Linked DNA regions of Caenorhabditis elegans. The protein of the gene in region 1 purifies or fractionates together with the protein of each later gene. This does not show direct contact. Each region holds a gene or a part of one and is shown on either strand. Other genes may lie near its edges. The genes, in order: C03B8.3 and W07G4.2.

What was found.
Region 2: the proteins of C03B8.3 (region 1) and W07G4.2 fractionate together in Caenorhabditis elegans (co-fractionation; one large-scale study listed by BioGRID). This does not show direct contact.

Annotation. Positions count from the first base shown.
Region 1 is NC_003281.10:7,710,614-7,718,069, reverse strand, and holds C03B8.3 (TMEM65 family protein), read right to left. Parts: upstream 5,762-7,456; 5' UTR 5,704-5,761; coding exon 5,696-5,703; intron 5,633-5,695; coding exon 5,522-5,632; intron 5,460-5,521; coding exon 5,329-5,459; intron 5,283-5,328; coding exon 5,129-5,282; intron 5,119-5,128; exon of another isoform or gene 5,055-5,118; intron 2,525-5,054; coding exon of another isoform or gene 2,462-2,524; intron 2,411-2,461; coding exon of another isoform or gene 2,185-2,410; intron 2,134-2,184; coding exon of another isoform or gene 1,988-2,133; intron 1,909-1,987; coding exon of another isoform or gene 1,743-1,908; intron 1,326-1,742; coding exon 1,209-1,325; intron 1,166-1,208; coding exon 1,099-1,165; intron 926-1,098; coding exon 770-925; 3' UTR 756-769; downstream 1-755.
Region 2 is NC_003283.11:13,034,147-13,038,316, reverse strand, and holds W07G4.2 (L-Fucosyltransferase), read left to right. Parts: upstream 1-1,750; coding exon 1,751-1,835; intron 1,836-1,879; coding exon 1,880-1,925; intron 1,926-2,173; coding exon 2,174-2,250; intron 2,251-2,292; coding exon 2,293-2,453; intron 2,454-2,497; coding exon 2,498-2,614; intron 2,615-2,654; coding exon 2,655-2,761; intron 2,762-2,806; coding exon 2,807-2,907; intron 2,908-2,959; coding exon 2,960-3,139; intron 3,140-3,183; coding exon 3,184-3,278; intron 3,279-3,323; coding exon 3,324-3,422; downstream 3,423-4,170. Other genes in the region: W07G4.7 (Secretory peptide), read left to right, coding at 3,613-3,739, 3,788-3,912, 3,964-4,050; W07G4.1 (FIP (Fungus-Induced Protein) Related), read right to left, coding at 4,153-4,170.

The DNA.
Region 1 (7,456 bases):
CTCGATAATCTCAGAATTACAGAATTGCCGAACTATACAATCGAATAAGTTCTACAGTAATGTACAAAATGGCTCGGTGATCATGCCAAGATCACAGTGTGTTATAAAACATAAAGTTACAACAACTGAGTTACAGTAACCCGTTTGTCACCAAAATATTGCACACCATAAGAAAAAATTGAAAATCTGTAGTTTCAAATATGAAAGATGTGTTCTAGTATTATTAGGAAGTGTATGTATGTGTGAAATTCAAAATGATGCCTTGTGCTACTGTAACGCCTACCTAACGAGCTTCCGTAGAGGTTGTGATGGTTTCCATTCATAAAAATCAATAAATACATTATAAGCATGTTATAAAAGTTACTGAAATTTCAGAAAATGATTACTAAATTTCAAAATAAAAGCGTGGGAATTAATATAGACAAAATTACAATAGTCCAATATTTGCAGATAGCATAATAACACGCTCTAAAACATTTTAGATTTTTCAGAATTTCCAGGCAAAGATTTTGTTAAATTTTCAAGTTTTCTAAAATATGTTAATCTGGAGTGTAGCTACTGGTTTGAATTTCTAGAATGTTTTGAAAAATGTTTCGACAAAATGCCAAGAAATCAAGAATTCAAGATTACTAACGGGAGAATTCCAGAGATTAGATGAATTGGCCACGCCCATAGGACCGTGTGGCACTTGCAGATTTTCGAAAAACAAGGCAACAAGTTCGTGATTTTTGAAATAAATATAATTATAGCAAGAAGAGATCAAAACCATTTAATCACCACAAAACAGTTCACAATATTCATCTCCGTTCGTATTAGCCACAGATACTAATAAATCTCCATTATCAGAAGCCCGATTGTCTAAATTGTCATCGATGAAGAATAATGGCAACATTCCAAGTGTTAACCCCATCCATAATCCACTCAACTGAAAAAGAGAATTAAGGGTGTCTTATTTGAAGGCGTGGCAATCTCCGGTTTAAGGGAAGCGTGACGTCACAACCATTTTTCAATGTAGTTCCTCTGGAAACAAATATGTGACGTCACCCGATCGAATAATTAACTTTTCCTTTTTTGCATGACTACTCGATCCATACTCACCTTGGCTCCAAACGCAGCGTATTGATATTCGGGAATATTCATTTGATCTACAGAAAGTACTGGCTTTCTGAAAAAGGTTACTGTAGGTCAACAACTGCAGAAATAATTACTTGAACCCAAGAACATCATTAATTCTGTCAGCAGGCAGTTGGAGGAACAGGTTGCAGATGATGTTGGCAACAGCTGCAGAGGCAAGCATTGACATGCCGTTGTACACCGAGAAGATACTGAAACATTGCTACTCTCTCGGTACGCACACAGCATTAATGAGTGGCCTTTGTGAGAGAAATAAATGTGGCCGCGTGGCGCAATGGATAACCACAGGTAAAGCGTGTCAGGTTAGTGGCAACCTGCCAGCAGGTCGCTGGCTGCTGAATGGAGAACAACTGGCAGGTGAAATCGCGACCCGCTGTCAAGTTGACACTAAGCCGCCGCGGGCCGGCAACAGGTCAACGTCAGGTTTGTGTCAGGTTATTTTAGATTCCGTATTAGGCCCATATATACCGGGAATACTGCTTTTTGTTATTAAATGTTAATACAAAAAGAGAACAATTGCCAAAAATTTTGTTTATTGAACATGAAAAATGAAAAAATAAATCTGAAAAAAGGAAAAAAAAAACATAAATATTATTTAATATTTCGGCTTAGTGTAAACCTCGTCTCGATTCCCGATTCCTTGGATCCATCATTAGCAGCCACTTGGTCGAATTGTTGATTCTGTGATTCTGAGCAGCATCAGATGGGCGGTAACGTAGAAAATGATCATCTATCAGCGACAGTTCGAGGAGTTTGACAGCATTCCGCATTTTTCTATAAAAAATTAACGTTAAAGTTGAGAGAAATCACTAGTTTTTTCCAAACGCTAAAAAATTATGATTTTAAAACTCACTTTGTAAGGTTAATTCTCTTTGCAAAGCATGATCCGAGCCAAGATGGTGTGGGCTTAGCGACGACAAATTCGAACTTTCCAATCAAGAATCAATCCATCAAAATAATGTCGGGTACTCGATTGGTGGGAAGATTTCGTCGTATTTTCTAAATTTTTTAAAATTTACATTACATTGAAATATTTTATTATGAACATACACTGTGATCATCATCGACGTCATTCCAACCAGTTGAAATCGCATTTTATCAATATTGAACATTGGGAGAGCAAGATCCACGAGGACTTCTACTTTCTTTTGAATCTACTTCAAAGCTTCTTCATTTTTTAGTTCCTTTTTACGTTGATTTTCATCAAAATGGAAGGATGAGGTGGTTTAGCGGACGCTTGTGGTCAATGTCGAAGAGGCGACGACTCTGCACGACTCTGAAAACATAAATTGTTATGAATAACTTCATTTTTGAGTTCAACTCTAACCTTTTCTTCCATCTTTAGTTTTTCGCGAAGCAATGTTGTCGCCACCGCCGGTAATTCTCTCATCCAGCTATTTCCGTGCCATCCCAATCGTTCGCGTCAATGTCGAAAATGCTGAAACACCAATAAATATACGGGAAATAATTATTTTTGCCGAAAAATCAAAGAATTGATGAAGAAAACAAAGAAAAAACGAAGAAAAAGAAGAAAAAATCGTGAACAAATAATTTCGAAAATGAGGAGGATTTACGCTAAAGAGGGCGCGCTACCGTTATTTCGGAGTGTCGTTGCCATCTGAGTTTGGAGCTTCTTTTGAAATGCTTTCTCGCTCTTATATTGAATTCGTAGAAAAGAAAAAATCACTTTGAGTCGTAAATGTGATTTGTGATTAAAACCAACAAATAATTGAAAAAAATTGAGTTCAGTAAAATGTAATTAAAAATATTTTCCACTAATTTTAAAATTAATAAGGGTCCCCCCTTATGAAAAAGTTTTGGGAAAATATTTTTCTTCCAAAAAAATTTAATACTGCTGGATTGTGTAGGAAATGTAAATTTTAGAATTTTCCACAGTTTTCATGGATCAATCATACTCCTGGGCAAAAAAAATACAACAGTCGATTTGGCTTGTTCATAGAAAGTCAGTACATCCAAAATGTTCTAGCTCCGCAGGCAGCTGAAATATGAAAAACTTGTCAACTAAAAAGTTGTTAGGAATAACGGGATTGACAAATTACTTATTGTAACTTTTTGCGATCTCGGATGGCTGAGCAGGTAGGAGCACCTAATTATGAATCAAATATTACTATTTTTTGACTTATGATATCTCCGTACTCTGCACAGAAAGCAAGAAACTATGAAACATGAAACATGTTCCATAACAACCTGATCAAGTTTGTAGTTGACAGTTTTTTGATATCTTGCTTGCCCGATGTGGGACATGACTTCGAATGACTGGCATAGTAGGTAGATGAGTTAGAGGAATAGAGGTTTTTACAGTTTCTTAGTTTTCGAAAGCACCACATTTTGCAAGAAAGTACATAGATGCAGTTAGGAAAACATATTTTTACCATATCTGATAAATATTTGACAACTTTTGAAAAAACATTTTTTTTTTGGATTTTCTTGAAAAAAAATCCAAAGGGTCCCCCCTTATGAAAAGTTTTCAAAAAAAAATTTAAAAATTTTTGAAAATTTTAATAATTTCATCAAATGTTATAGAAAAATGTAAAATTAATTGTTTTTTTAGCTTCGATGTTCTGAACACGAGTTCAAACAAAAGCCTGAGGTATTGTAGAACTCCTAAGTTCAAAAAACGCACTCACTTCGGATGCTGATATCTCCGTGTAATAATTTTTTATGACAAAGTGATCAACTACAAAGTTGTTTATCTTAATATAAAGTACAATTTTGCAGTTAATCGTTTTTTATCAAAAAATTTGATGGCCGAGATACAAACAGAAAAAGAAGAAGAAAATACAAGCATGAAGTTGCTGCATTTCACACAACTTTATCTCGACCATGAAATTTTTTGATGAAATATCCTCAACTACAAAATTGTACTTTAGATTAAAATAAACAACTTTGTAGTTGGAGTTCTACAATACCTCAGGTTTTTGTTTGAACTCGTGTTCAGAACATCGAAGCTGAAAAAAACAATTAATTTTACATTTTTCTATAACATCTGATCAAATTATGAAAAGTTTTCAAAAAAAAATTTCGAAAAAATTTTTTAGAAAATTTTCATAAGGGGGGACCTTCGGATTTGGAAGTACTGACTTTCTATGAACACGCCAAATTGACAGTGATATTTTTTTGGTCAGGAGTGTGATTGAGCCATGAAAACTTTGGAAAATACTAAAATAAACATTTCCTACCCAAGCAAAATATTTTTTAACATTCAGTTTTATCCATTCATTATTGGTGTTTCAGTCAAAACTTTGCCTGACAGTAACCTGTCAGTTGGCATTTGCCGGCTCTTAGCCTGCTCCTAACCTGACACTCGCCTGACGCGGTTCATTATTCGGTGCGGTAACCAAAAAACTGTATTTCTGGAAATATTTATTTTCAGACATTTTTTACTTTTCGAAAATTTCCCTAAAACGTAACAGATCGTACTGAAAAATGTTTTTGAGCCAAGAAAACTTTGCCTGACAGTAACCTGCCAGTTACCATTTGCCGGTTCTTAGCCTGCTCTTAACCTGACACTCGCCTGACGCGGTTCATGATCCGGTGCGGTAACCCCGAATCTGTATTTCTGGAAATTATATTTTCAGAAATTTACACGAATGAACATATAACTCATTTTTATGAACTTTCACTCAGTTTCTGAAACTTCCATTTTCACTCGTCTGACCCATCACCTGACACTTACTCGCCGTTCACCTGACGCGCTTTTCTGAAAATTTGAGCGAAAATCACTAAGCTGACACTAACCTGCTCTTAGTCCGACAGCGACTTTTAGCCTGATACTAAGCTGACACTAACCTGCTCTTAGTCCGACAGCGACTTTTAGCCTGATACTAAGCTGACACTAACCTGCTGGCGGCTTTTAACCTGCCATTCAGCTGCCACTAACCTGTCGCGCTTTACCTGTGACGCGTCTGCCTACGGAGCAGAAGATTGCAGGTTCGAATCCTGCCGTGGTCGAAATTTTTTTCTGCGAGCTTACTTGTTGATGCTTTCACCGCCAATGATTAAAAATGCTTCATCGAGACATCCGTAAACGAACATTGGAATGAAATTTATATACCAGACTTTTACTAAATCTTCATGATCAATAGTAACTTCTACCACCTTTTTGTGATCATTATACTGATCGGCGGCTGTAAGATTTTTTTATTTTAAGGTAGCTGCTTAGCAAGAACTCACTGATCTTTCTCAAAGCATCAAATAAAAGTTTCCGTTCTCCCGGTTGGAGCTCCTTGGAAAAAAGCTTTGCATCTGCATCGTTTTGTATTCCATTCGGAAGAACAGAATATTGATTGAAAAATGGGCGGAGCCTAAACTTTCAAATAGGACTTTCAGGAAAGTTACAAGAATTGGGTAAATGATTTAGACTTACTCTTCAGGCCTAACTTTTATCACGTTATTTTTTGCAGCTCTTCTACGTAAGTGACCAACTCCGCGTGAAAAATTGCGAATCTGTTGGTTTGATAACATTTTTGCTATTGATCTGATAAAAGTTAAATTTTTTTAAACTAATTTTTTTAACTCGAGAAATTCTATCGATACTCACCTATCCATACGGTATCTTTGCTAGCCTTGAAACAAGTAGTTGTAAATTGAAAAAAATGAGAAATGAATTATCGTTACGCGTTTTATACTAACTATTTTTACAATTTAACAAAATTGGTTTTTTTCTTTTTTTTCCATCCGAAGTTATCAAAACAAATAAAATCCGTATTTTTCGCGTGAGCGTACATCTTCAGTCGGGTCTCGCCTGGAAAATCATATCCAACTTGCGCGTAAGATAAGGTGTGTTGTACGCACTGCCAATGTGAACCAAGACCAGTTTTGCTGACGCAGTTGTCAGCTGGCGTGTTTTTTTCTCTCTTATTTTCAAATTTTGAACATTTTTTGAGAGCGTCGCGTGCACGTCGCGGTTGAATTAACAATCGCGCTCTAATGAAGACCACCTCCCGATTCGCACCGCATCGTACCAATGGTAGTTTAAAATACAGACTTTGTAGTCCCAAAAATTAATTTTTAAAAAGTATTTTTCCGCATAACTGTACTCATAGTTGAAGCTTCAACAGCTGTAGCAAATGATATCGGTGAAAATAATTTTCGAAATTCATTCTATTTATTTTCGGTAGTGTGTTTTCATAACCCCCGCATGCTTTTTTTCTTAAAATGTTCTAACCTTGCTGTGAAAAAAAAACGCGCGAGGGTTGCGAAATAAGCGTGCGCGAAACCGAATTTTTGGTTCCTCCTTTCCTGTTTCCGTAAATCCTGTGCGTTGCGTGCGCGTTGCGGTTTTCGAATTATGGAAGTGCGCTCTACCGAAATTCGCATTGCTCGACATTTTCCTGTTTCTACAGTTATTTACATTTCCCTTTTCAAATGTTTTCAGTAAATCCAAAAGTTTAGTTTTTTGATTATTGTTCTTCTAATTTTTTCTAAAATTTCAAAATTAAAATTCTTTTAGTAACACTACAAATTAATTTATATTGCAAAGTTCCAGTATTAACTTTTCCTAAGCCCAGTATTAACTTTTCAAATCAATATCGAATCTTAATTCTATCCTAATTTCTCTTCTCAAAGTTATTTATTGACTGATTTTTAAACTTTAATCCTATTTTGGAGTTATTGATTCTGCGTTGCGGTCGCGTCGCGGTCACGCCACCCGTTCCTCACTTTTGTAAATTTTCTGAAGGTATCCCAAACGAGAAATCGTGCACAGCGGCTGCGTCGCGGTTTTTCATTTATTCAGTCTCGTTTCGTGTGTGGCTGGTTATTTACGCGGGCTGCCGCCGCCCACTTTCTCTCTTCCCTGCAGTGGCCTAAAATTGTATTGACCGCCGCGAAGTGTCCGCAATTGTGCGCCGTGGTGAACATTAACACACACGGGACCGGAAAAATGTGTAGTGTGTTTTTGAATATTATTTTGTTTTCTAGAGAAAATAAATATAGTTTAGAGTACAGTAAAATTATCGCTGCAAGACCACACTATAGTTGCAGAGTTCTTGACTGAGCGCTTCTTTAAGTTTTCTTGCTTTTATTTTATTTTTCCTGCTCATTGGGTTCAAATGTGGGCTTGCTCGAATTTCCACTTTAGCTGTTTTCTAATTTCGGAGCTGTATACTGTTCAAATCTATAGAATTTAACAATGTACTTTTTTCAAATGAATAAATCTGAAAAATGTGGCACCTGTAGCGATCACTATGACTGTGATCGTGGCGAGACCCGCTCAGAAAAACAACGTGTGCCTTTAAACTGACGAGTGAAATTTGTTGCGAAATTACGATAATAAAACTGGTTGGTGTGTTTGCACAGT
Region 2 (4,170 bases), on another chromosome or scaffold:
AAAGTTTTAAACAACCTATTCAAACATTTTTGCGCCTTTTTAAAGTGATTTTATTCTTATTCGGGAACCTAGAATCATTGTCCGCACTTTTTGGAAATTTTTATTTTTTTCATTTTTGCTCAAAATTTCTTGATCAACTCCAAGCAAAAAAATCAAAAAATTTCATTTTTCTAAACAATTATGAAATTGCTATGTTGTTGTTCAGAAATGTATGAAACGTACATTACACAAGTTTTAACTCTCTATTCGCAAGTAAACCGTCGAAATGATCTACATCTCACGAACTTTGTGCAAAATATTTAACCAACTTTGAAGTTGCATAACTTCGTTGAGATAAATTATTGTGAAAAATGATCAACTAACAAAATGTTTGTTGAATAACAGTGAACAAAGTTTTAGTTATAAACTTTTTGATACCTTCAGCCACCAAAAAGTTGTGACCGTTTTCCAAAACACAATGTTAATAGAAAAACTAGCCAAATGCCAACCTTGTTTTCTTCTTTGTAGCTGGAGGTATCAAAAAGTTTATAACTAAAACTTTGTTCACTGTTATTCAACAAACATTTTGTTAGTTGATCATTTTTCACAATAATTTATCTCAATGAAGTTATGCAACTTCAAAGTTGGTTAAATATTTTGCACAAAGTTCGTGAGATGTAGATCATTTCGACGGTTTACTTGCGAATAGAGAGTTAAAACTTGTGTAATGTACGTTTCATACATTTCTGAACAACAACATAGCAATTTCATAATTGTTTAGAAAAATGAAATTTTTTGATTTTTTTGCTTGGAGTTGATCAAGAAATTTTGAGCAAAAATGAAAAAAATAAAAATTTCCAAAAAGTGCGGACAATGATTCTAGGTTCCCGAATAAGAATAAAATCACTTTAAAAATGCGCAAAAATGTTTGAATGAGTTGTTTTACAACTTTATTCAACTTACAAAAATAGAAGGAATCGAACCAAAGCTTAAATCTTATCAGACGCGCGCACTCCCAACTCGGCCACCGAGGACATTTTTCAACTCAATGTTGTGGGTGTCACATTTTCGGTGGTCACGCAAGCTGAGATTTGCGTGGACTGCATGGTAAGACAGTGGATTTCAATGGTGTTTTTAACTGAATTTTCAAAACGTCATAACTTTGCTGAAACTTGACCGGGGCAGCTAAATTTTTTGGAGAGATCATAACTAACACTCTTCTGTAGGAATTTTAGCATGAGAACCCCAAATCTACGGACCCCCTCAAAGACTTCCCTTGTAAGTACATCAAACAATTTCCTGTGATTCTATCCATTAACGTATTCTATTCATGTTTTTCTTTCTTTTTCTCATTTCCTTCGCTTCCAAACAAAAATTGCTCGCATTTCATGTTCTTTCTTTTCAAAAAAATTATGATGGTTAAAATAAAACTTTAAAAAATGTACACTTGGTTTTACTATTGAATCGTCGGACCCATGCTGTGTTGCTGTGGTGCAAAAGGTAATTTTTGACACTAACAAAAGTTTAGGCAAGTAGGTAGGCATGAGATAGGCTCGTAGGCAAATATGGGAAGGTACGTAGGCAGACTTGAGGTATGTTTGAAAACAAAATTACACTTGATGTTCTTTTGGGACAAAAATGTGCAGCCCATACATGTTGGACTCATGCTGTGATTCGATGTATTGGAAAGGGATCACATCAATTACGAAACATCGAAACATGCATTTTGTAACTACTCCTGTTTCATCTCTTCTTCTTTCAGCTTTACTAAATGACCGAAATTCAACCACCAACACCCTCACTTCTTACGAAAATGTTCAAAACTCGGTTATTTGTAATTTTTCTGATATTAACTGGTAGGGTAATAGGAACATTCAAAAGTTCAAACTTCCAATTACAGTAATAATTCTATCTACAAATGTTTGCAATAGAACTACGTTACCAATGTAAGTCCAAACACCGATAATTATTTCAAGACACAATAAAAAAAGACATAAATATAGGTAGGCTTGAGGTAGGCACATAGACAGATAAGAGGTATGTAGAGGGGCAGGGAAGCGCTTGGTGCGTAGATAAAGTGGGAAGGTTTGAAGTAGGCATGAGGCGGAAGCGTACTACCGAATAGGTGTTTGTCTATTTAACCCAGAAATTTGGCCTTATTCTATAAAACTGTAGACATTTTCAAATGTTTCAGAACTTCAGAGTATTTCACCAATTCTAATAAAAACAAGAAATATCTTTCAAGCAGGCTCGCAGCAGGAATGAGATTAGGTATTTGAAAAAAATCATAAAATTTAAAGAAATAAGTTTCAGGAAATCACATTTTTGAAATGGCTGCTTTATTGGGAATGTCAAGGCAGCTACATCGTAAATCCTTGTTCTTTGTGGAAGATAAAACTTATTTGAATATGTTGAACAAAGTGAAAGAAGCTATTCCTGGATTGATAGATCAATTTGAAATTGTTTATGGAACGGTTTGTTTAAAAATAATATATAGTTGAATTTGAAAATTGTTAAGGTTCCACCACCAACACAATTCATCAACTTCAATTCACGATGTTGTGTCTACGTGGAACCAACGATTCTTGAAAATAATGAAGATCAGTATTTACATTTAGCTGGATACTATTATCAGGTTCTAATGACATTATTGCTATTATAAATCTAAAATTTAGTCTTGGAAGTATTTCCCTTCAATGCAACATGAACTAATCAAATATTTGAAGCCAAATGTAAAAAGTGAATTCGGAAAGTTGCCAAGATCAAAAAATAACTCCTACATGTTAGTTTCCGCTCAACTTTTTATCGTAGATTAAACACTTATTAGAATTTGTGCACACACACGAAGAGGAGACTTTGTATGGGGTGATTTTGCTGCATCGGATCCGACTTTTGTCAGACGGGCGGTTGAGTTTATTGAAAAGAAAAGTATATAATTTTTGAAAAAAATCATTTAAAAAACAACTGAAACATTTTTTAGAAGCCCTAGAAAATTTAAAATCTCGCATTGTCTTATTTGGAGATGATTTCAAGTTTATGAAATCCATTTTCAAATATTCGATTCTCCAAGGTTCAAACACAAGACACTTCATATCTCATAACTCTCCATCCGATGATTTGATTTATTCAAGAGATCACTGTGATACGGTTTTAATAAGTGGTATGAATTAAATATCAAATTGAAATTGTATACATATGATTCAGCTCCTCACTCAACATTTGGCTGGTGGATGGGATATTTCTCTAAAGGAAATGAGGTTTTCTATATGGATATAAGAGAAACCAATGATTTCAGTTTTGTCAGTAAATAGCCGTACATGAAACTATAACATGTAAAATTTCAGAGAATTGGAGAGCTGAGCCCATATGATTATTTTATGCCGAATTGGACACCACTAAAGTTTTCTTGTGATAATTTAACGATTGTTGAAAGTGTCAGATAGTTTTGAAAAGTTTTTTCTATCCGAAAGTTTAGCTTTACAAATCCCAGAACTTCACCGCATTTTCCACTTCAATGAATCGTTTACAATATGAAGCTTGACAGTTGTTATGACCATTAGAGTAGACTAAATTGACCTAATTTCTACTAACTTGTAATATAAAAAGGAAAACAGCTAGAAAGTATTCATAAAAATGAAATTCGTTCTACTTTTGGTATCACTTTTTGGAATTGCAAAATGTCGATTAATGTGTGGAATTGATCCAATTCTAACAAATTGGATGGAGATTTCGATCAAATTGGACTGTCCCGCCATTTTAGGTAAGTGATCAGCAAGAGTGAACCCTTGTAAGTGAGCAATATTTTCAGAACAACATCGAACTTGTTGCCTCGCCCATGGTTGGTGTTATGTATATAAAAAGGCAACAATGGAAGCATGTAATAATGAATATTGTCGTTGTGTTAGTGTTCTCGCAAATGAAGGTGTTTGTAAGGTACTATCAACTGAACTATCTTCAACTTTAAAACTAAGTTAATGTTTTCAGACTCATTCTGATAACTTCTGTATGAATGTGAGAAACATGGGACCAATGCTCTGGCCGACAATCAATGAAAATGGAATGGCTTTTTGAGTTTTTCTTGATAATGTTGGAAGTTATAACAATTCAATGTAATAAAATAATTTATTTGAAAATTGTATTAGTTTTGCAATAATAATAATTAGCCGATGTCATCTAAACTCGATTCCATCC